2 linked regions of the Rhinolophus ferrumequinum genome follow. The protein of the gene in region 1 interacts with the protein of each later gene in a pairwise test. Links are inferred from orthologs where the notes say so. Each region holds a gene or a part of one and is shown in the gene's direction. Other genes may lie near its edges. The genes, in order: FOXR1 and PPCDC.

Region 1 (9,956 bases):
CCCCTACTACCAGTTTCCATTTCCCTCCCATTCTGGCCCAGCCAAGGCCCTTTCAGGAGCCCCTGGGGTTACTTTCCTCTTCCTGCACACCAGGGCAACTCACAACTTCCTGCCCTCCTGGGGAAACCTCCCACCACCTGGGGGAAGTTATTTTCTACAGGCTTGGCTCCACATGCTTGTGCAGGCAGGAGAGCACTGGTGGGAGTCCCAGAAGTCCCAGAAGAAGGGGTGATTTCCACCCCCCCACCTTAGTTGCCCTGCCCCTCCGCAGCTGACTAAGCCACCAAGATCCAGTCAAGATCCCTACTCCTGGCCTGAGGGCTAGCTCCCCATCCTGAAAAACCTGTCTGCCCCCCAGCCCCCCCCGCAGGCTGTAGGGCCGAGGGGCTGGTCGGACAAGATTCCCCTCTAGCCCCTCCCTCCCCCAGGACAAAACCAGTCACCCCAGAGGCAGGGCCTCATTTGCCTCAGGAAGCCACAGCCTGCCAGCGCTTGTTCCAGCTTCCAACCCAGCTATGGCATCCCCACTACCCATCAGAACCTCGTCCTTTGTCCTGATTCTGCTGGCTGTTCTGGCCCCAGGAGCTGCAGGTCTCTGCCACTTCTGGCGGGGTTGTGGGGAGGGGCTGGGGCCTGGATAGGCACTGTGCATTCCAGGGCTGTGAAAGAGGAGCTCTTCTGGACAGTTGGAGGTGGGGGCCTGGTGATGGCAGTGACCAGGCATCAGTCACTGAGCTAAGGGCACACTCCTGGTTCTCTTCCAGACCCAGAAGGCAGAGAGGTGAAGGGAGGGGCCCAAGGCTGCGGGAAGGGATGAGGTTGGGCACAACCCACTCCTGGCACCCAGAGTTTGGAGACTTGGTAGAGTATTACGCTTCTGCAGCCCAAGCCTGCCACCTGGTGGTCAGATGCACAAAGGCCTGTGTTCTGTCAACAGACTACAGAGTGGAAGGTGGAGGGAGGATTCTGCATCCTTAAAAAAAGCCTGTGGAAGCTGGGCCAGATCTGAAGGTGGGGGAGAGGAATTGAATTTCTCCCCCACACACGCACGTAACTTCCTCCTGGCCCTCCAGCAGACTTCAACATCTCAAGCCTCTCTGGTCTGCTGTCCCCGGCGCTAACGGAGAGCCTGCTAGTTGCTTTGCCCCCCTGTCACCTCACAGGGGGCAATGCCACACTGATGGTGCGGAGAGCCAATGACAGCAAAGGTCTGCTACCCTGTCCCAGGGCATCCCCCTAGCCCTTTCCCAATTCATCCCCAACGTCCCTTCTCCCACGCGTGCCTTCCTGCACCCACACTCTAAATGCTACCCCTTCTCCTTGGGGCCTCCAGAAACTTGACCCTGCTTTTCATCCCCAATTTCCTGCCCAGTGGTGAAATCTAGCTTCATGGTGCCTCCATGCCGTGGGCGAAGGGAACTGGTGAATGTGGTGGACACTGGGGCTGGTTTCACTGTCACCCGGCTCAGTGCTTACCTGGTGACAAACCTCGTGCCAGGAACCAAATACTAGTAGGTACCAGATCCAGGCCTGGAACAACTGCAGGAGGAGAAGTTGGGTCCTGACATTTGGTGGTGGTGGTGGGGGGGGATGTGGTCAGCATGGGGGAGAGGGTGAGGGCACAGCTAAAAGGGTCAAGAATGGGCCTCTCCTAAAGGAGGGCACAATGGGAAGCACAACTGTGAAGAGGGAGGCCTGGTCTCCCTCTTTCCCCAAGTCCCAGATACTCACTGAGGATTCTCTCCTCTCTCTCTTCCAAACCCCATTACAAAAGCATTTCTTACCTAGTGATGAAGGGGACATCCACTGAGTCCAGCAGAGAGATCCCAATGTCCACACTTCCTCGTAAGTAACACGTGCTCCCTCTCACATATCAAGGCCCCCAAATCTTCCCTGTCCCCTTCCCGCCGCACCCCAGTTGCCCCTCAGTATGCTCCCTTAGCTCCTTGGCTTTCCTCTATCGTAACATTGAGCCCTTGGCATTTTAACTGCCTGTTGACTCATCTTCCTGCACTGCTAAACTAAAGATTCTTTGTGGGTAGGGATTGTGTCTGATCAATTTATGTATCTTCAGTGAGTGACGTAGGAGATGCTTCATAAATGTGTATTTGATGGATGTCTGAATCACTTGATCAGTTGGATGGTGGATGAATAAATAGATGAAGGGATACGAGCTAGATAGCTGGATGAGGGGCTAGGTTGAGTGCCTCATGTAGGATAGGGGCTCCTCCTGCCCACAAAGCCCACTCCGCTCTCTCTTCTGACAGGAAGGAACATGGAATACATTGGGCTGGGAATGGCCCGGACAGGGGGCATGGTGGTCATCACAGTGCTGCTCTCTGTCGCCATGTTCCTGCTGGTCCTGGGCTTCATCATCACCCTGGCACTGGGTACCAGGAAGTGAGGAGGCCTGCACGGGGCAGTGGGCTCCTCCAGGAGGTCCAGGGCGCTGTCCATCTCTCCAGCCCAGAGCTTTGCCGCTTGCTCCTGCCTCGTCTCCTGAACAGACTGCCTGCTCCCAGTCCTCAATCACCAGTCTTTGGCTGTGCCTGCACTTCAGTGCCTTTACCTCTATTCCTTTTACTCCCCCTGCCCCTTGTCCCCTAATTACTCACCTTCGCCCAACTCTTCCTATTATTCCTTTCACCCCACCCCTGTCAGAATTAGTTTTCCTTCCATCTCACCTCTTTAATTACGCCCAACAATTCACCCCTCCTCAGTGAACTAAACCCATACAATAAAGTTGGATGTCACCTCTGTGGTGTGTGTTTCCTTTCTGTGGGCTCCACTTTGGCACAAACCTATAGAATCCATGTCTAGGCTGCAGGTGCTCCCATGGCCCCAGGAGGCAGGAAGGGGCCAGATGAGATAAGAACTCAGGAGTCAGAGTTCTCAGACCCACATCTAGGCTGTGAATTTTGCACCCTCCATAGCAGGTCACCCAACTAGGAGACGGAGCACCATCGTGGGGGAGGGAGCTAGAGGCCTGAGGGCCTTTGGGTGGGGGGCTGCTGGCAGAACAAGAAGAAATGCTGGCGAAAAGATGAGTCTCTGATGGGAAAGACAGAGGGCCACCAGGGTGAGACCAAAAGACAGGTTATTGAGGCCTGTGGGGAATGGAGACTAGGCTAAAGGGGCTTTAAGAGCAGAGAGCAGAAGTGGAAGAACCCTGGGAATAGAGACAAGAGTGGTACAGTTTGGTAACCGAGGGAAAAGAGCAGGAGTCGTCACCCTTATTCCTTTTGTCCTCTCCAATATGCATTCCTTATAAGGATTAGTAATCTTTGCATTGCTCTTAAAATAAAGACTATGGGGCAGATGGGTGGCTCAGTTGGTTAGAGAGCGAGCTCTGGGCAACGGGGCTGCCTGCCGGTTGGATTCCCACATGGGCCAGCGAGCTGCGCTCCTGGGTGGCCAGATGGCTCAGTTGGTTGGAGCGCGTCCTCTCAACCACAAGATTGCCGGTTCGACTCCCGTAAGGGACGGTGGGCTGTGCCCCCTGCAACTAGGGCAACTGGATCTGGAGCTGAGCTGCTCCACAACTAAGGTTCAACCTCCACAACTAAGGTTGAAAGGACAACAACTTGACTTGGAAAAAAGGACCTGGAAATACACACTGTTCCCCAATAAAGTCCTGTTCCCCTTCAAAAAAAAATTTTTAATCAATTATCTCTGATTAACACAAAGGATAATTTTTGTTTTATTGTTTTTCCCTTTGTGCATTCTATACTTCCAAGTTTTCTGCATCAAACATAGGTATTTTTATAGTTAGAGAAATAGTATTATCATTAAAATTATTATTAGTAGTATTAAAGGTAGAATCCTAACAAACTTTAAAAAGGAAGCTGTTATTTTCACTGTAGTTAAAACATTTATTGAGGGTCTCCTCTGTGCCTTGTACTCTCACAGTTTCTGCTCTGGTAGACAAGCAACAGACAACACAGCATGGGCTCTACTGGGGAACCCAGGATGAGCAAAAGAACCAGAGGGAGCTAGCTCACCCACTAGCCAAATCTGGGACAAAGGTTTAAAATAAATAATGATAGTAATGACTTATAATCCACTCAATAAAATAAGAATCCTTTGAATCCATACTAATAAACATATAGATATGGGATAGGGAAAAGCTCTTCCTTACAATAGAATGCCAGCTAAATAAATGGAAAAGGAACGACGGAGTTAGAAAAAAGATCAATTTACACCCATCAAAGTAAGAATCATAAATGGATGCCAGAATTAGTGGGCCCAAATTTGGTGAGGAACAGGATTTTAGATCAAAGTATCTCCCCACAAATTACTTTCCAATTACAAAGGGTGAGGGAAATCATTTTACAGTAGAAAAACCTGGTGGAGGCCATTGAACCAAGTGATTGAAATTAGCACCACTAATAATGGGACAAACTAACATAATGTGCCTCCTGATATGATGTGCTAAGAAGGCAACATCACCTCTGTGGTATTCCTGTCAAAAATGCCTAAGTCTAATTATGAGGAAACATCAAACAGAATAAATGGCCTGTAATCGTTAAAAATATCAGTATTACAAAAGATTAAAAAGGCTGAGAAAGTGCTCCAGATTAAAGGAGACTAAAGAAACATGAAAATTAAATGTACTGCATAATCCTGAGTTGGATCCTAGACCAGAAAACAAATTCATATAAAGAATATTATTGGGACAATTGGTAAAATTTGAATAGGATCTGTACATTAAATATAATGTTGAATTAATGTTAAATAATCTGATTTTGATCAGTTTATTTCTGATTTCCTGGTTATGTACGCCAATCTCCTTGTTTTTAGGAAATACACGGTGCAGTATCTATGGGTAAAGAGGCATGATGTCTGCAAATTACTCTTAAACAGTTCAGAAAAAATAATAGTATACATATGTCTTATGTGTATATGGAAAGAAAATTAAAACGTAATAAAATGTTAATAATTGGTGTAATTGGTAAATTACAAGATTTAGGTAAATGGGAATTTTTTAATAGTATTCTTAGGATTTTTCTGTAAATTTCAAATTATTAAAAATAAAATTTAAGAAACCACCATTTAATCCTATCTCCACAATGTACTACAGATGCGATCTTGGGTAAGCCATAAAATCAATCAGAACTTCTAGAAAGTTAATACTATCACGGGATCATTCTGAACCGGTAGACGAATTCATTAAATAAAATAAGAGCTTTGTGCAAATGTAGTAGGGGAACAGGACCTGGAATAGCTCTCTTCTGAGTCCCCAAGTGTCCCCAGGCCCAATTCGAAAGCATAGAGGTTTGAGGAAAGACGTGGCAGAAAGTACTCAGTTGAGGCCAGAGGGGATTAAAGGCGTCAACGCTAACTCCATCAGAGCCGGCAAAACTAACTCAATCAGAGCCTGGGTATTTGAGCAAGTAGCTCAGAGACCTCGGCCTCAGTCTGTCCGACTCTCCCACCCCCTGCCCGGCTCTCTCTCCTCTCCCTGAAGGTGGACCTGAAACTCCAACACCTTGACTTCTGGGCCAGCCTCCATGGCCAGGTCCCAGGGTTGCTGGACTGGGACATGGGGAACGAGTGTTTTCTGGCCTTCACGACAACGCACCTGCCCTTAACTCAGCAGAACCGTGAGTGCCCAAGAGGGGGGCGGTGGGGGATGGGCGTGCTGGGTGGCCCGGGTGGGGGTCTCGTGGGACCGGGGCGAGTGGGCTCCCCAGCTTTCGACCTCGCACCCCGCCTGGGGCGAGCCCCGGCGAGGGCACAGTGTCGGGCCCGCGTGCTCCCTGCTGAGTGCCGCGGCCCCCTCCCCCACGCCACTTGCCCAGCAGCGATCGGGCCGCCCCGACTGCAAGCCCACGGAGGGCAGCGGTCCTGCTGGACACGACGTTTTCAACTATACCCGACCCGCCCAGCTCCTTCCCAGAACCTTCTAGGCCTCTTCGCGGCCTTTTCTCCATGGCGCCTGTCGCCATTTGGCGCACTACATATTTTACTCATTTTTCTGTTTTTAAAAAAACTGCAATTTATCAGTTGTGTTCGCAGCTGTATCCCCGCCTCTTGATACGTCTGACACCCAGAGGTGTTCACTATTTGCTGAATGGGTAGCTGGCTGTCGGGGTCATTTAAAAAAAAAATTTCAGTTCAAGTGCGGAGAGTTGATGTAATCACCTCCTACATGCTTGGTAGGTTATGTCATCTGTTCGACAAAGTACTTAGATTAATTCATTTTCCCCCTTTCCACCCACTTCTATCACCTCCCACACTCCCATGTATTTACTCTACCCTATTTATCCTCTTTAGAGAGCTGTATCTTTGAAAACTGTTTAGTATTATTTTGTGACTAATTTACATAATGCTCATTGCTTTTTAACCCCTACTCATTGTTTTTGAGAGGGATTTAGGTTGCTAAATATAGATCTGGTTCATCATTTTTGACTGTTGTGTAGAAGTCTATCATCTGCATATGCTACCTTTTTTATTTTTTTATTTTTCAATTATAGTTGCTATTCAATATTATATTACTTCAAGTGTTCCACATAGTGGTTAGACAATTACATAATTTAGGAAGTGATCCCCCAATAAGTCTAGTATTCACTTGGCAATATACATAGTTATTACAATATTATTGACTCTATTCCTAACGCTGTGCTTTTTATATCCCCGTGACTATTTTGTAACTACCAGTTTGTGCTTAATCCTTTCATCTTTTTCACCGCCACTACCCCCAACCCCCTTCCCATTTGTTAACCATCAGTTTGTTCTCTGTATCTATGACTTTGTTTATTTAGTTTGTTTTTTAGATTCCACACATAAGTGAGATCCTTATAGTATCTGTCTCTCTGTCTGATTTCAGTCAGCAAAATACCCTCTAGGTCCATCCATCTCGCATGCATATGCTCAGCCTTTTGCATTTAATTCTCTGTACTAATGGAGACCTAGATTGCCTCCAACTCTGACACCGAAGTAATGCTGAGGAACATTCCTGTTTCTTCACTGGTTTGCGAAATATTTATTGAGCACCTCCAATTTGCCAGGCACTGTTCTAGACACTTGTGATACATAATGAACAAAACAAAAGGAGACAAGTCTTCATGAAGCTTACATTCTCCTGGGGACAGACAGGCAATCCACACAAAAATGTTACATACTAGTATGTTATAAGGTGATAACTGACGTGGGGAAAGAAGGACACAGTATGAGGGTTCAGGAATGGAGGGGGGGAAGCAGGGAAAGTGGTGGCAGCTACATTTTTAAACAGGGTCATTAGGTTGGGCTTCATTGAGAACATAATATTTTGAGTAGTGAGTTAAAAGAGGTGACATGGTGAGCCAAGAGGATATTTGGAAGAAAAGCTCCCCAGGCAGCAGAAACAGCCAGTGCAAAAGCCCTAAGGAAGGAGTATGCTTGGAGCCATTGAGGAACAGTAAGGAGACCAGTGAGGCTGGATCAAGGTAAATAAAGAGGAGTGCTCACAGGGTGTGCAGCAGAGATCAGGAAGAGCTACCTTCTACTTTAAGGACATCGGCCTTGACTTTGAGTAAGACGTGGCATGATTGAAAGGTCTTGAGTAGAGGAGAGGCACAATCGCCAGCTTCATGAGTATGTGACCTGCACAGTTGCATAGGGTAGCTATACTTGGTTTAATGCTCTGCTGTCACTATCTTGAGATTTTTAATAATTTTTGAACAAGGAGCTCCACATTTTTATTTTGCACTGGGCAAATTATGTAGTCAACCCTGCATGATTTATATTCTGAAAAGATCACTGTGGCTGCTGTGTTGAGGGTGCATTGGAGATATAAAGAAACTAGGAGCCTAGAAGTCAGGAGACTGGTTAGGAGTTTTCTATAGTAATCCAGACAAGAGATGGTGCTAGACTGACCACCAGCAGTATGTGGTGAGAAGGTAGAACCAGCTAGATTTGCTGATAGATAGGATGTGTGGTATAAGAAAAATTAGAGGATGACTTCTAAGTTTTTGGCTGATTAAGTGGAAGGATTGAGTTGCCTTCTACTGAGATGGAGGAAGCTTCTGGTAGGAGAGGTTTCTGGAAGAAAATCAGGAATTCAGTTCTGGGCATAATGAGTTTGAAATACTTTTTAGATATCCAATTAGAAATGTTGAGTAAACAAGGGAATATATAAGTCTGGAGTTCTGGAGAGAGGTGTGGACTGCAGATATAAATTTTGAGAGTCTTTGGTATAGAGGTGCATTTAAGTAGTGAGAGAGAGAAGGAATAAAAATGATCTCTGGGGGGCCTTCCAAGAGATTGGAGAGAAGAGAGATAACCAAAAACTAAGGAAATGATCACTGAGAATCAAAACTGACATTGTGTTCTTGTGGAAACCAAGTGAAGAAAGTGTCTCAAGGAAGGAGTGGTCATTTGGGAGGAATGCAGCTGAGAGATCTGGTAAGAGGTTGGTTGACAATTGGACTTTGCAAAGCAGAGCCTTGATGATGTGGTTTTGGTGGAATAGTGGAGAAAGCCTGATTGGCAAGGGTTTAAGAGTGGAAGGAGGGGAAGTAGAGACAGAAAGTATAGGCAGTTCTTTTAAGGAGTTCTGCCTCAAAAGAAAGCAAAAATGAGGAATAGTGGCCTGGCACAGAACGTGAGGACCAGAGAAGTTATTGTTTTTCATATGATGAGAGAATTTACAGCATATTTAAATGCTGATGATAATGATCCAATAGAGACCAAAAAAAATTAATAATAGGAAAGAGAAGAGAGGATTGTTGGAACATTGTCCTTCAGAAGGCATGAGGATATCTGTGCCAGAGAGAGGGAGGGAGGAAGACAGTCAGACTGACAGGCAGACAGACAGGCATTGTATCCTTTGATCCCACTGAGATCAGCAATCTGTTGGTCCTGTCACCCTTTTACTGCTGCCCATCACTCTTCTTTAACCTGTAATCCCATGGTCAAACATGCTCGCTCTCTTGCATACACCCTTTCAATTCCTTTGGCCCTGTATGGCTTTGGAGCACTTGCTGGGCCAAGCCACAACCCTGATCAAATCCAAGTCTACCAAACAAGTGCTCCAAACCCATAGATCAATGGATTAGTGATATCAGTTGTATCAAAGGATAGTTGGAGTTGAGAGTGAGATAGCTGGAAAAATAGGAGGTGATATATTTTTATGTGGTACAAAAGTGAGGTTTTGGAGAGGTTGCAGTTATTCGTTCAGGTTATGACAGTGACAGAGACCGTCTAAAGTAGAATGCAAGGCAAAATCTTCGTAGAAGAGTTTAAGAAGCCAGTTTATTAAGAGAATCATCTATCTATTGAAATAGCCAAGACTTAAGGCAGGCGAAGTTTTAGTAACAGTGAGCCAGTGAGCCTCTGAATGAGGGAGAGTGACCGAGAGTTTGATAGATGACAGTAAGATTAGTACGTAAATTCCTATATTAACTTGAATATACATACCCAGGAGTAGACAGTATAATACATTATAGTCCTCCCTGATTATTCTTCACAATGGCAACACCAGTTGCTATCAGGTCTGCAGTGTAATAAAGGATTCTATTTTTCTGCACCTTTGCCAACAGTTGGTATTATCTGTTTTTATAATTCTTGTCAGTTTGATGTAAAGTGTTATCTCTTTCTTTTATTTTCTTATTACTAGGAAGGCTAAGCATCTTTAGTCATTTAGGTATCCCCTCCTCTGAACACTGATTTGTACCTTTTGCCCATTGTAGGTTTGTGTTAGCTTTTTCACTTATTGAGTTGTAGAAGCTGTCTATGAATTGAATATTTTTTTCTAATTTATTTGATTTGATTTTTTTCCTTGTGATTTTTACTATGCAGAACCTTTTAATTTTATGTATTATAATACCTGCGTAAAATGTACAGATTACTTTGAGATTAATTGGCACCTTTTAATATGTATTATATGTTTTTGTTTATTCAGGTCTTTTATGTCCTTAAATAGTGATTGCACCTTTTTCCTATAAATGTCTTCATTCTTACTCCATTCTTTGATG
Region 2 (9,523 bases), on another chromosome or scaffold:
GTGCTCATTCCCCCTGTTTCTCTATATATTTTCTCACCTTTTTTCCCCCCTGCCATCTCCCAAACACACTTCCCCTCATTCACCCTCAGCTCAGACGTCCAGGTAGGATGTGGGCTCCCTGGGAGTGCTACGCTGGGCTGAGAGGGCTGGGAGTAAGAGCCTTTCCTTTCAGTGCCTTCCTTCCTCACTCTACCCCCTTGGGTGGGGCAACAGGTCTGTTTTGGTTCTGTCTTCCCCAGGCAGCTGCACGTAAAATTTTGCCAGTGGGGCCCCGTGTCTTCGTGGAGCTGTCCTTGTACCCATGGGACTAGTTGATTTGTTGCCAAGTGGACCGTCTATCCATATGGAACCAGCTACCCATATACCACTGATACTATTTATGTGCTGATGAGGTCGGCCAATTCTGTGCCAAAGGGACTCCCATCCATGTGTCTTGGTGCCAATGGGTGTCTATTTTGTATCAAATGGAATTTTCAGTCTTTTGCCAGTCGGACTAGCATCCGTGTACCAACAAGGATATCTGTCTCAATGCCAGTGGAGTATCCAGAGTGCCTCAGATGTCTTTGCCAATCGGACCATCCACCTATGTGCCAATTAGGCTACTTTCTTGGTGCCAATAGCGTGTGCATTCTAGTGCCAATGGGACTTTCTATCTCTAAGCTTATGGGACCATCCACCATGTACCAGTGGACCTAGCTGTCTTGGTGCCGGTGGAATTGTTCACCCCCTTGACAGCGGGCTGTTTATTCCTGCCACAATGGGCCCGTCTGTTTGTGGGCCAGTGGGGCCCAAACACCCACGTGTCGGTGGGTAATCCACTCATGAGCAGATGTCTCCCTATGTAATGTTGCACATACACGCCTAACACCTGGTATCCTGCCAAGATCTATGGGTCAGTGCTGTCCCATTTTGGCCTCTCAGTTAAGGCCTTTGAATGCCTTCTGTCCTTTGTGTACTCACTTCACCTTGGAAGGGCGTGGGGGCCTCGAAGGCAGGGAATCACTGGCTCTTTGCCCTGGTAACAGGAGCCATCTCCTCTGTTGCAGGACTGACAGCTCCTTCAGCTTCATGGCATTCTTCTTCACCTTCATGGCCCAGCTGGTCATCAGCATTATCCAGGCCGTGGGTATCCCAGGCTGGGGCATCTGGTAAGAGACTGAGGTATCTGGGACTGACCCAGGGCTGGCATGGGTGGCATCTTGGGTGTGTCCTTTGCTTACCTCTGTGTGCTAAGCTGCCTAGCCTGTGGGGAAACCGTGAATTATTGGAAGTGTGAGAGGATTCAGACTAGTGTAGTAGACACAGCCATAGCATCAGAGGGGAAGGAGAACCTTGCAGTGGTTTTTGAGGGCTGAGGGGTGTCAGGCATTGTGGGACAACCCAAGGGAAGGAAACCTTATGTCTGAGGAGCTTGTCTCCTGAGCCATGGGGAGGGTTCTTCCTGAATCCCTGACACAGGCTCTTTGGGATTAGTAAGGTGGTCCCTTTGCATCTAGTGATATGGTCCCTCCCTGTGACAATGAGATGGTCCCTTGCTCTAGTGTCTAGTGGGTGGCTCCTAGGTAGCCCTCACCATGCTGGGCAGCCTCACAGTTGGCCTCTTCCTGCAGCGGCTGGATTGCCACCATCTCCTTCTTCGGGACGAACGTTGGCTCAGCAGTGGTAATGCTCATTCCTACCATCATGTTCACGGTCATGGCTGTCTTTTCCTTCATCGCCCTCAGCATGGTACGTGGTCACCTCAATGGTGAGAAGTTGGCTTTGGGAAGGGACTGTGGTCTGTGGCAAGCCCTCTTCCAAATGACAGGAGGACCCAGGAGTCTTCCCAGGGGCTCACTGTGGAATGGCTTGGTGGACTTTGTTCCTGATGCACTGAGCATGGGTGGGACGCAGGACTGGCTGTTACAGCGAGTTGTCTGTGGCTCCCATGTCTTTCCTGGATGGCCTGCCTCTTCCTTTTGATTAACCCTTTCTTGTGCTCCTCCTCCCACAGGTTCATAAATTCTACCGGGGCAGTGGGGGGAGTTTCAGCAAAGCTCAGGAGGAGTGGACCACGGGGGCGTGGAGGAACCCGCATGTGCAGCAAGCAGCCCAGAATGCAGCCATGGGGGCGGCCCAGGGGGCTGTGAATCAGCCGCAGACTCAGTATTCCGCCACCCCCAGCTATGCATACTCCAACGAGATGTGAGCCAGCCGAGCCTGCTGTGAGGCGGGGCTGCGGGCTGGTGGGACGGGGGCTCAAGCCACATCATCTGTTGTGGTGACCAAGCAGGGTTCCCCCTTCCCTTTTCTCTTCCTCCACTTTGTATAAAGAATCAGAGTTATATATATATATATATATATATATATATATATATATATGTATGTATGTATATGTCTACCCCCCACCCTCTTGGATTTTGCTCTGAGCATTTGGAAAGCTGCGGGCTACATGTGGAGCTGTCCCTTGCGGCGGTAGCTGTGTCCATGTCCCCTTGTGAAATAGTGTGACGTGGAGGTCTCTGTTGTCGTGGTGCTAGATGTCTGTTTAGAACTAAACCAGCCCCCACCCTCCCCCAGGCCACGCCCTCTGACTTTGCCCAAGGACCCTTCATGGGGCAGGAGGAGGCATAGCAGAGAGAGCCTGGCCCTCTCCCCAGGGTTATGAGCTGAAGCTGTTTCCGCTTTTGGTCTTACTGGGAAGCAACAGTATTTAGCACTTATGGGGGTGGTGGGTGGGAGGGTGAGAACAGGCAGGGGCCTTCTCTTCCTCCTTCTGATCTGGGATCCTCCCCCTCAACCTCTTCTTCCTCTCGTCCCTTCTTGCTGTCACATTCCCTGTGGTCTCTTCTCTTGCCCAAGGTCTCTCTCTTCCCCATATGGCTTTCTGTCTTCCCCAAGGCTGAATGAATTTGTATCTGCTCCTGAGACTGAGCCCTTTCCCAGATCAAGGAAGCAGACGGGAGCTGAGCTTTAGCCCTGATGTGGGAGGGCACACAGGTGCAGACCCCCCCACGGCACCTGACTCCTAAGGAATGGCAATGCAGGGTCATCTCCTGGACTCCCAGAGCTTGGCCTGTAGGGGCAGGCTCCTCTTTTCCCTGCTTCCCCTCCTTCTCTTCCTAGCACCCCCCTCAAGCCCCTCTGCCTGTGTCCCTCCCCAAACCCCCAGCTGCTATGGCCTGATTCTCTTGTCCTACCTCCATCACATGCCAGAGGCATCTTCCATCTACCAAGGCGGATTCCACTGCCTTCCCTGAAGAGCTGGGTGGTATCCAGGCAATTTCCATGCAAAGGCGCAGCTGGAGCAGAGGACGTGTAAATAATTATTGGTACCTGTGTGAGGTCTGGCTGGTTCAAGCCCCCTGGGAGGTATTGGGTGTCCCGGAGTGACCGACCATCGGATTCCTGGCAGCAGTAGCTGTTCTGTGTGGGTCTGGTAGAAGGGACAGGCTCAGAGTGCTGGGCCTGGAGGGAAGATCAGAGGAGAAGGCAGGCAGAACTCAGTGAGAGGGGAGCATGCCTCCCCCATGCCAGCTAGCTCTTCGTCACAGGGCAGTTCTGGGCACTTGAACTCAGGGCCCAAGAAGAGGCAGAGGCCCAATCCTATCTGCAGGCACAATGGCTGGAGTGGGCTTTCAGGTTAGGTGCGGTGGGAAGGAAGGCTCTCTGGCTTTTGTTTTTTAAAAAAATCAAAATAACTTGTTCCCTTTTGCTTATTGGCTTTAGTTCTCGGCCTTCTTCAGCCTGACCGAATCCCTTTCCCTTCCAGGACAGTGACTTCAGGCCAGTAGGTCTGTTCTGTTCCAAGCCTTGTGAGAATGTTGCTGGTAAAGCCCCAGCTCTTTGAGGTTGGGAGGGGAGTGTCGCACTCAAGGAACAGCTGCCCACTTCCTACCCTCCCTTCTCCTATCTGGGTGTTTGGCCTGAAAAACCAAACCCTGCTTGGCCATTGTGGGCTGGCTCCAGCTTGGAACCCAGCTTGGTCAAGCTCCAAATACTGTATTTTCCTATAAGGGGAGCCGGGGCCTCTGGGAAGTTCTCTTCCTAATGGTCCCGTTGGCTTGAGTCAGACTGATTGGCTCTCTCCTCTACCACTTTCTCTCTGGAAAGCATTTGTCATCGCCCCTAGTGCCTGAAAAGAGACCCTTGGTCTAGCCTCTTGCTCCCTTGTCCTCTCTCCCCTCCCTTCCTCCACTTCCCGTCCCCACTCCCCCCCCCCCCCCCCCCCCCCCCGCCAGACCTCTGACTCCTTTTCTCTTAGTCTCTGGTAGTTCCAGGCCTGTGGTCCAGCTGCTAGCCCAGGATCCATGACCTGTTGGTTGCCACCTCCAGTCGATTTCCTGCCCTACCTGCCTTTCTTCTTTCCTGGCTCAGACCTATATGGCTATGCCCTGACGCTGCCCTTGGGGAGGCCTGCTACTTGTGTGTGGCCCAGCTTGTCCAGGCCCTGAGATGCTGTCTCCAGGCAACCATACACTTTCCTGGGGAGGAAACCAATATGAGAAGTGGGGGCTGGGCACAGATTCATGTTTGCTGGATGGTCTTGGGTGGAGGGAAACCCAGGTCAGTTCTGGGAATCCTCAGGTCTGCAGCCAGCCAGTGAGCTGCGTTTGTACTCTGCTGGTGCCCACTGCTCCTCCACTGCTCCTCCTTGTTTCTAGGAGACAGACTATTCTCCATCTGGCAGTTGACCTGCCTGAGCCAGTGTGTCTGTCTATGGTAACTGAGTGAACCATAATAAAGGGGAACATTTGGCCATATGTATTCTGCAGTGTCATGTGTTTTCATACGGGTCTGTGTGGATGGAGCCTCACTGTGGGCTGTGGGACATGGAGGTAGGGTGGGTCTGTAGAACCACACAGGGGCCAGAAGTCGCCTCTGTGTGGTTCTTTCTCTAAGGCAGCCTTAGTAGGCCTTGAAATTGCCACAGCAGCCTTCTACCGGTTAGAAGGAGAGGTTCTGAGTTCTACGAGGAGGAAGCAGAAGGCTGAATTAGAGAGTGAGGGATGCTTTGGTCCAGATGGTCCCTGCAGACAAGGGCAGGGGCAGAGCAGAGGGCCCCACTCAGCTCTCTCAATGGAGACTGGCTGCTGACCGAGCAGCCTGAAATAACAGGGGGTTCCGGAGCCCACGGTGCTGGACGATGAAGAAGGTAGTGAAGTGTACCCAACCTGCTTCCCCCGGATGCATTCCTGTTGCCAATGCCCTGCCCTCCACTTGGACTGCTATTCTGGCACTCTATCTAAGCTCCTGCTCAGCCTTCGAGATTCACCCTGAGTGACTCCTTCTCTGAGAGGCCTTCCCTGCCTCTAGGTATTTAGGCCCCTCCACTTCCTCATGGAGGACCTTATTCTGTAATTTTCTGTGACCCTGCTTGTCCCTAGAGCAGAAACGCATCTGATTCTTCTCTGTAAACTGCACTTAAAACATAGAAGAGTCTCGCTAAATATTCAGTATTAAGTACCCCAACAATGAGCAGTGTGTATGTGTAGGATGGGGGTGTGGGGTGAGGAGGCGAAGCCCAGGTGAAAGCATCTGAAAAACCAAGAATAGGAGCCAGGGTTAGTGGCAGGATTCCCTCCAACGGACTACAACTACCGGAAGGCCTCCAACGGACTACAACTACCAGAAGGCAGAGAAATGGACTACAACTCCCAGAAGGCTGCGCGATCACGTAGTCTGCCAGATATTCTCGTGAGATTGCGTGCCAATCAGAATCAGCGCGAAAGGCAGGGGCCATCCGGGATATTTGGGGGCTGTGCCCAGACACGCCTGACTCGGGTGAGGAGTCAAAGGGGGCTCAGAGGCAGTCCTCGCGGCGGGCGGGTGGGAGGCCGGAGAAGCTTCGCTTGCGACTGTGGGCCTGCTGCTGTGCGTGTGTGTCCTCACTTTCGTGTGTGTGTGTGTGTGTGTGTGTGTGTGTGTGTGTGTGTCTGTGTGTGTGTGTGTGTAGGGGCTGTGGAGCTTGTGGGGCCTTCACTTTCCTGTCTGTGACCGTGGGGCTGGAACATTTAGGGACCCCTTCCCGGCTCGAGCCTGAGGTGGATTTGTATCTTGCATCCCTATCCGCGCTCTGTGCTGCTCGGCGATTGTCCATTGCTGTTTAATCTAGTTCAAAAGATGGCCCTGTCAGTTCCCCATACTTACCACTTGCCTTAAAAAATAAAAAAATCATGAGCCTGCTTCCAAAAAGGAAGAGGGACTGCCCAAAGTACAAACTATCTCTTAAAAGCTGGTGATATAGAAAAAGAAGAGCCCTGGGATGTTGCAATTATCCACTTAGATCAGCCTAAAAATGCTTACTGGCATTTAAAAATTAGAGTGCGGCCAAATTTTGTCAGAGAAAAACTTCATGCTGTTTTTTGAAATATTGGAGGCCGGCGCCAGATAAGGCGCAGGAGAGAGTCCCAAGTTGGGGAAATGGTGGTGTCTTTGGAGCTGGGTTGTCCACATCTTTGCCCGTGGCTGAGAGGTGGCAGTGCGCAGTCACTCGCTGGCTAGTAGCCGGCGTGTGTGAATGTGTCTCTCTGTCTGTATCTCTCCGCAACATGCGGCCTTGAGGAAGGGGACAGGTGACGCAGAGTCAAGTATGCTTGCCTCTGGTTTTAGAGAAGAGCGTCTTAGAATGCCAAGGCCTTGAGCTAGCCCCAAAGAGTTCCTTTCCTTTCCTTAGGGGAAGGGCTTTAAAGTACCCCTGTGGCCATGGGACTCCCGTTAATGACTTTGGGTTTGGGAGCAGGGTGACACTTTGGGGAGTGCAAGTGGGTCATTATTCCTGGGGCAGAGAGTTGAGTGTGTTGACTGGTGAGAGAGGAGCCGGAGTAGAAGCCTGGGCCCAGTAGGGAGGGGCTTGGACGTTAGGCTAAAGGAATGGAGCTCAGTGTACACGGGATCCCTGCCCACCCCCCCCCCCCACCCCGGAGCCTGGTTCTGCTTTTGTCCTACACCTCCGCGCCTCATCTTTCCTGTGTTGGGCTGCCTCACACCCCGTCTGGTCCTTTCTTAGCTCTGGTTCTGCCCTGGCCCCACATCCGCCCTCATTGTGACTGGCAGGAATCCCTGAAACCTTTACGTGATTCTGCCATAATTAAACGCATCAGACATTTACACACCACGAGGCTTTATACAAGCTGAGGCTCTTCACTCTGTCTGGCCTTGTCTTCCTAAAGGACGGAGAAGCTGCCATTTTTCCGTCTGTGGCTTACCTGGATGGCTGGCACCCTGGGAGTCTGAGGCTCAGTAATCACAGGCTTGAGCCCTGCGACCTCTCTGCCTGCCAACTCTTCCTGCTGCTCAGGAGTGCCTTATGTGTCCAGCAGAGGCCAGGGAAGCGAGGTGCTGTCCACAACTGCCTTGGCTGTGCAGGTAGATCGTTCTGACAGGGACTGGATAGAGTGCTTACTATTCAGGGATTTGATCTTTTTAAAGCATGAACATAAAGAACCGCCAGCTGTCACCTTCCATGGGATTGTCAGATTGAATCCATTTGACCTTGCTTTGAAATGTCAGTTAAGTTACCCACTCACTATTCCTCAAACAATCCCCACGCCTCCTATAAAGGCAGGTAGGCCTTGGTCCTTAGCAAAGATTGCCCAGTAGGCTAAGGAGTCAGTCTGGGGCTATGCCACCTACTGTGGGGCTTGGCTGAAGTCACCAGCGTGGATTTCTGCCCCAAGTTTTGCTGATTGCTTTCAGTGACCTGCTCCTGAGGATTGAGGTCAGCTTAATGTGGAAGAGTTTCAGGGGCTGGAAATGAAATTCAGCTTCTGGTTTTGCAGGAATCCCTTTGTCCTAGCACCAGTTGGCTGGGGTGGGACAAAGTCAAGGCTTGAGACCTGGCAGGTACATTTTCCTGGAGAGTCAGGAATGTGTTCCCATTACCTGTGAGTGCTAATCAGCCTGCTGGTTAGTTCTTGGAAGACACTGGACAATAAGCCCTCCAGAGGGCTCCCCAGGTCCCCGAGTAGACACAGTTCTGTTCTGGGCAAGCAGGGCCCTGGTACAGAGGTCCCTGGCAAATGGAACTTTGGGGGAGTCTTGCTGAAGGGAGCTGGCCAGTGCTTCACCCCTTCTGAGAAGGGTCTGGGCCTCTAGGAGACCCTTCTAGGTAGGAGTGGGATCATGGACCCAAACACAGTCCTCAGCTCCTGTGGGTCTTGAAGGCAAATACTGGGCAAAGAGGCCCTTGGGATCCCAGGGGCCTGTGGAGTGAAGAGGAGGCCCCCCTGTGGGTGTGCAGCCGTGGAGGCAGCCACAGGGTGACTCGGGCACGTCCCCCTGAGGGTCTGCCGTGGCGTCTCCTGTCCTGCTGGTTGTGCACATCTTCTGGGACCCTCCAGTGTGGAGAGCATTTAGCACTGCCGTCTCTGCATTGACACAGAAGGCTCTGCTGGTAGGAGCTTTAAAGATCACCTGGTTCTACCTCTGTATTTTTCAAATGAAGAGATAGGTCCGGGGACGGAAGTACCCTGGGCCAAGGTCGCACCCCAGGTCAGGAGCACATCCATGAGCAGGGCCCAGGGCTCCTGATTCCCAGGCTGGCTTCTGTCTTCTGCCCCACCCCGCTGCAGAGGGTACAATTTATTATTCACTCAGCAGATGTTCAGGACCCACCAGGTGCCTGGCGGTTGGCGAGTAGACCTGGTCACACATTCAGGGAGCTTGCTGGTGGTGGTGGCTGTGGTGGGGCAGTGGAGAGGGAGAGGCGAGGAAACATGAACGAATGGAATCAGTGATCAGAATGAGTCGGTTTTGCTGGCCCTGCCTGCAGAGTGTCCGTCAGCCAGATGATCACGGGCACTCACTTCCAGCAACAGCTGCCAGAGGAATAAACCAGCAGCGGGTCCCCCAGGGTGGCCAGCTTCCCCTTTATGCTTGTCTCTTCCTGGGCGTGGATTTGTGGAGTGGTGTCCAGTCTGATCTACAGGGACGGGGCAGAGGCAAACCTCTCCACTCCCTAAAGCACCCAGACGCCCTTGTTGCCTAGGGCTCCATCTCACAGGTATCCCTGGAACCCACCCCATCCTGCCACTCCCTTCCGTCGTCAGCCTGGCCCACTAGAGCAGCTTCTTACCCTGTCCCCTCCAATGTCACCACCATCAGGGCCCCCTCCACATGGTCACCAAAAACCATCTTGCCAAAATGAAAGTTCCCCGTGGCCCTCACCACCCTTGACGCTGCCCTTGACCTGACTTTGCAGCCTGACCCCCCGCCCCCCATCACACTTCAGCCGCACTACCAAGCTACTCTGTTTCCCAACCTGCTACCCTCCTTTAGCTTGTTCATCTTTGCAAGATTGCTCCTTCTTGCAAAGTTATTTCCTTCTTTCTCTGGAAAACTTACTCGTCTCTCAGGACTCAACCTGAATGTCATTTTTTTGGTCTCTGACGTCCTCAGACAGTCACTCCCGGGCGGCCACAGCCTCCGGTATGGGCCTTCCTCACAGCACTGGTCACGCTGCATTGTAACTGGGCTGTGTGTGCTGAGGCTGTCTGACCTTATCAAACTGTGCTCCCAGACCTGGGACTGCGGATCCGTCAGG

Evidence for each region.
Region 2: the proteins of FOXR1 (region 1) and PPCDC interact in binary tests that used the Homo sapiens proteins (3 or more experiments, as listed by UniProt). The two-hybrid records come from large-scale screens. The link is inferred for Rhinolophus ferrumequinum from reciprocal best matches to the Homo sapiens genes FOXR1 and PPCDC.

Annotation. Positions count from the first base shown.
Region 1 is NC_046294.1:88,239,806-88,249,761, forward strand, and holds the start of FOXR1 (forkhead box protein R1), read left to right. Parts: upstream 1-5,460; 5' UTR 5,461-5,542; coding exon 5,543-5,603; intron 5,604-9,956. Other genes in the region: UPK2 (uroplakin-2), read left to right, coding at 516-591, 1,077-1,208, 1,373-1,511, 1,775-1,845, 2,268-2,404. UniProt on the Homo sapiens protein: Transcription factor which acts as both an activator and a repressor.
Region 2 is NC_046289.1:99,538,805-99,548,327, forward strand, and holds the start of PPCDC (phosphopantothenoylcysteine decarboxylase), read left to right. Parts: upstream 1-5,663; 5' UTR 5,664-5,763; intron 5,764-9,523. Other genes in the region: SCAMP5 (secretory carrier-associated membrane protein 5), read left to right, coding at 1,047-1,148, 1,611-1,728, 1,994-2,188. UniProt on the Homo sapiens protein: Catalyzes the decarboxylation of the cysteine moiety of 4-phosphopantothenoylcysteine to form 4'-phosphopantotheine and this reaction forms part of the biosynthesis of coenzyme A.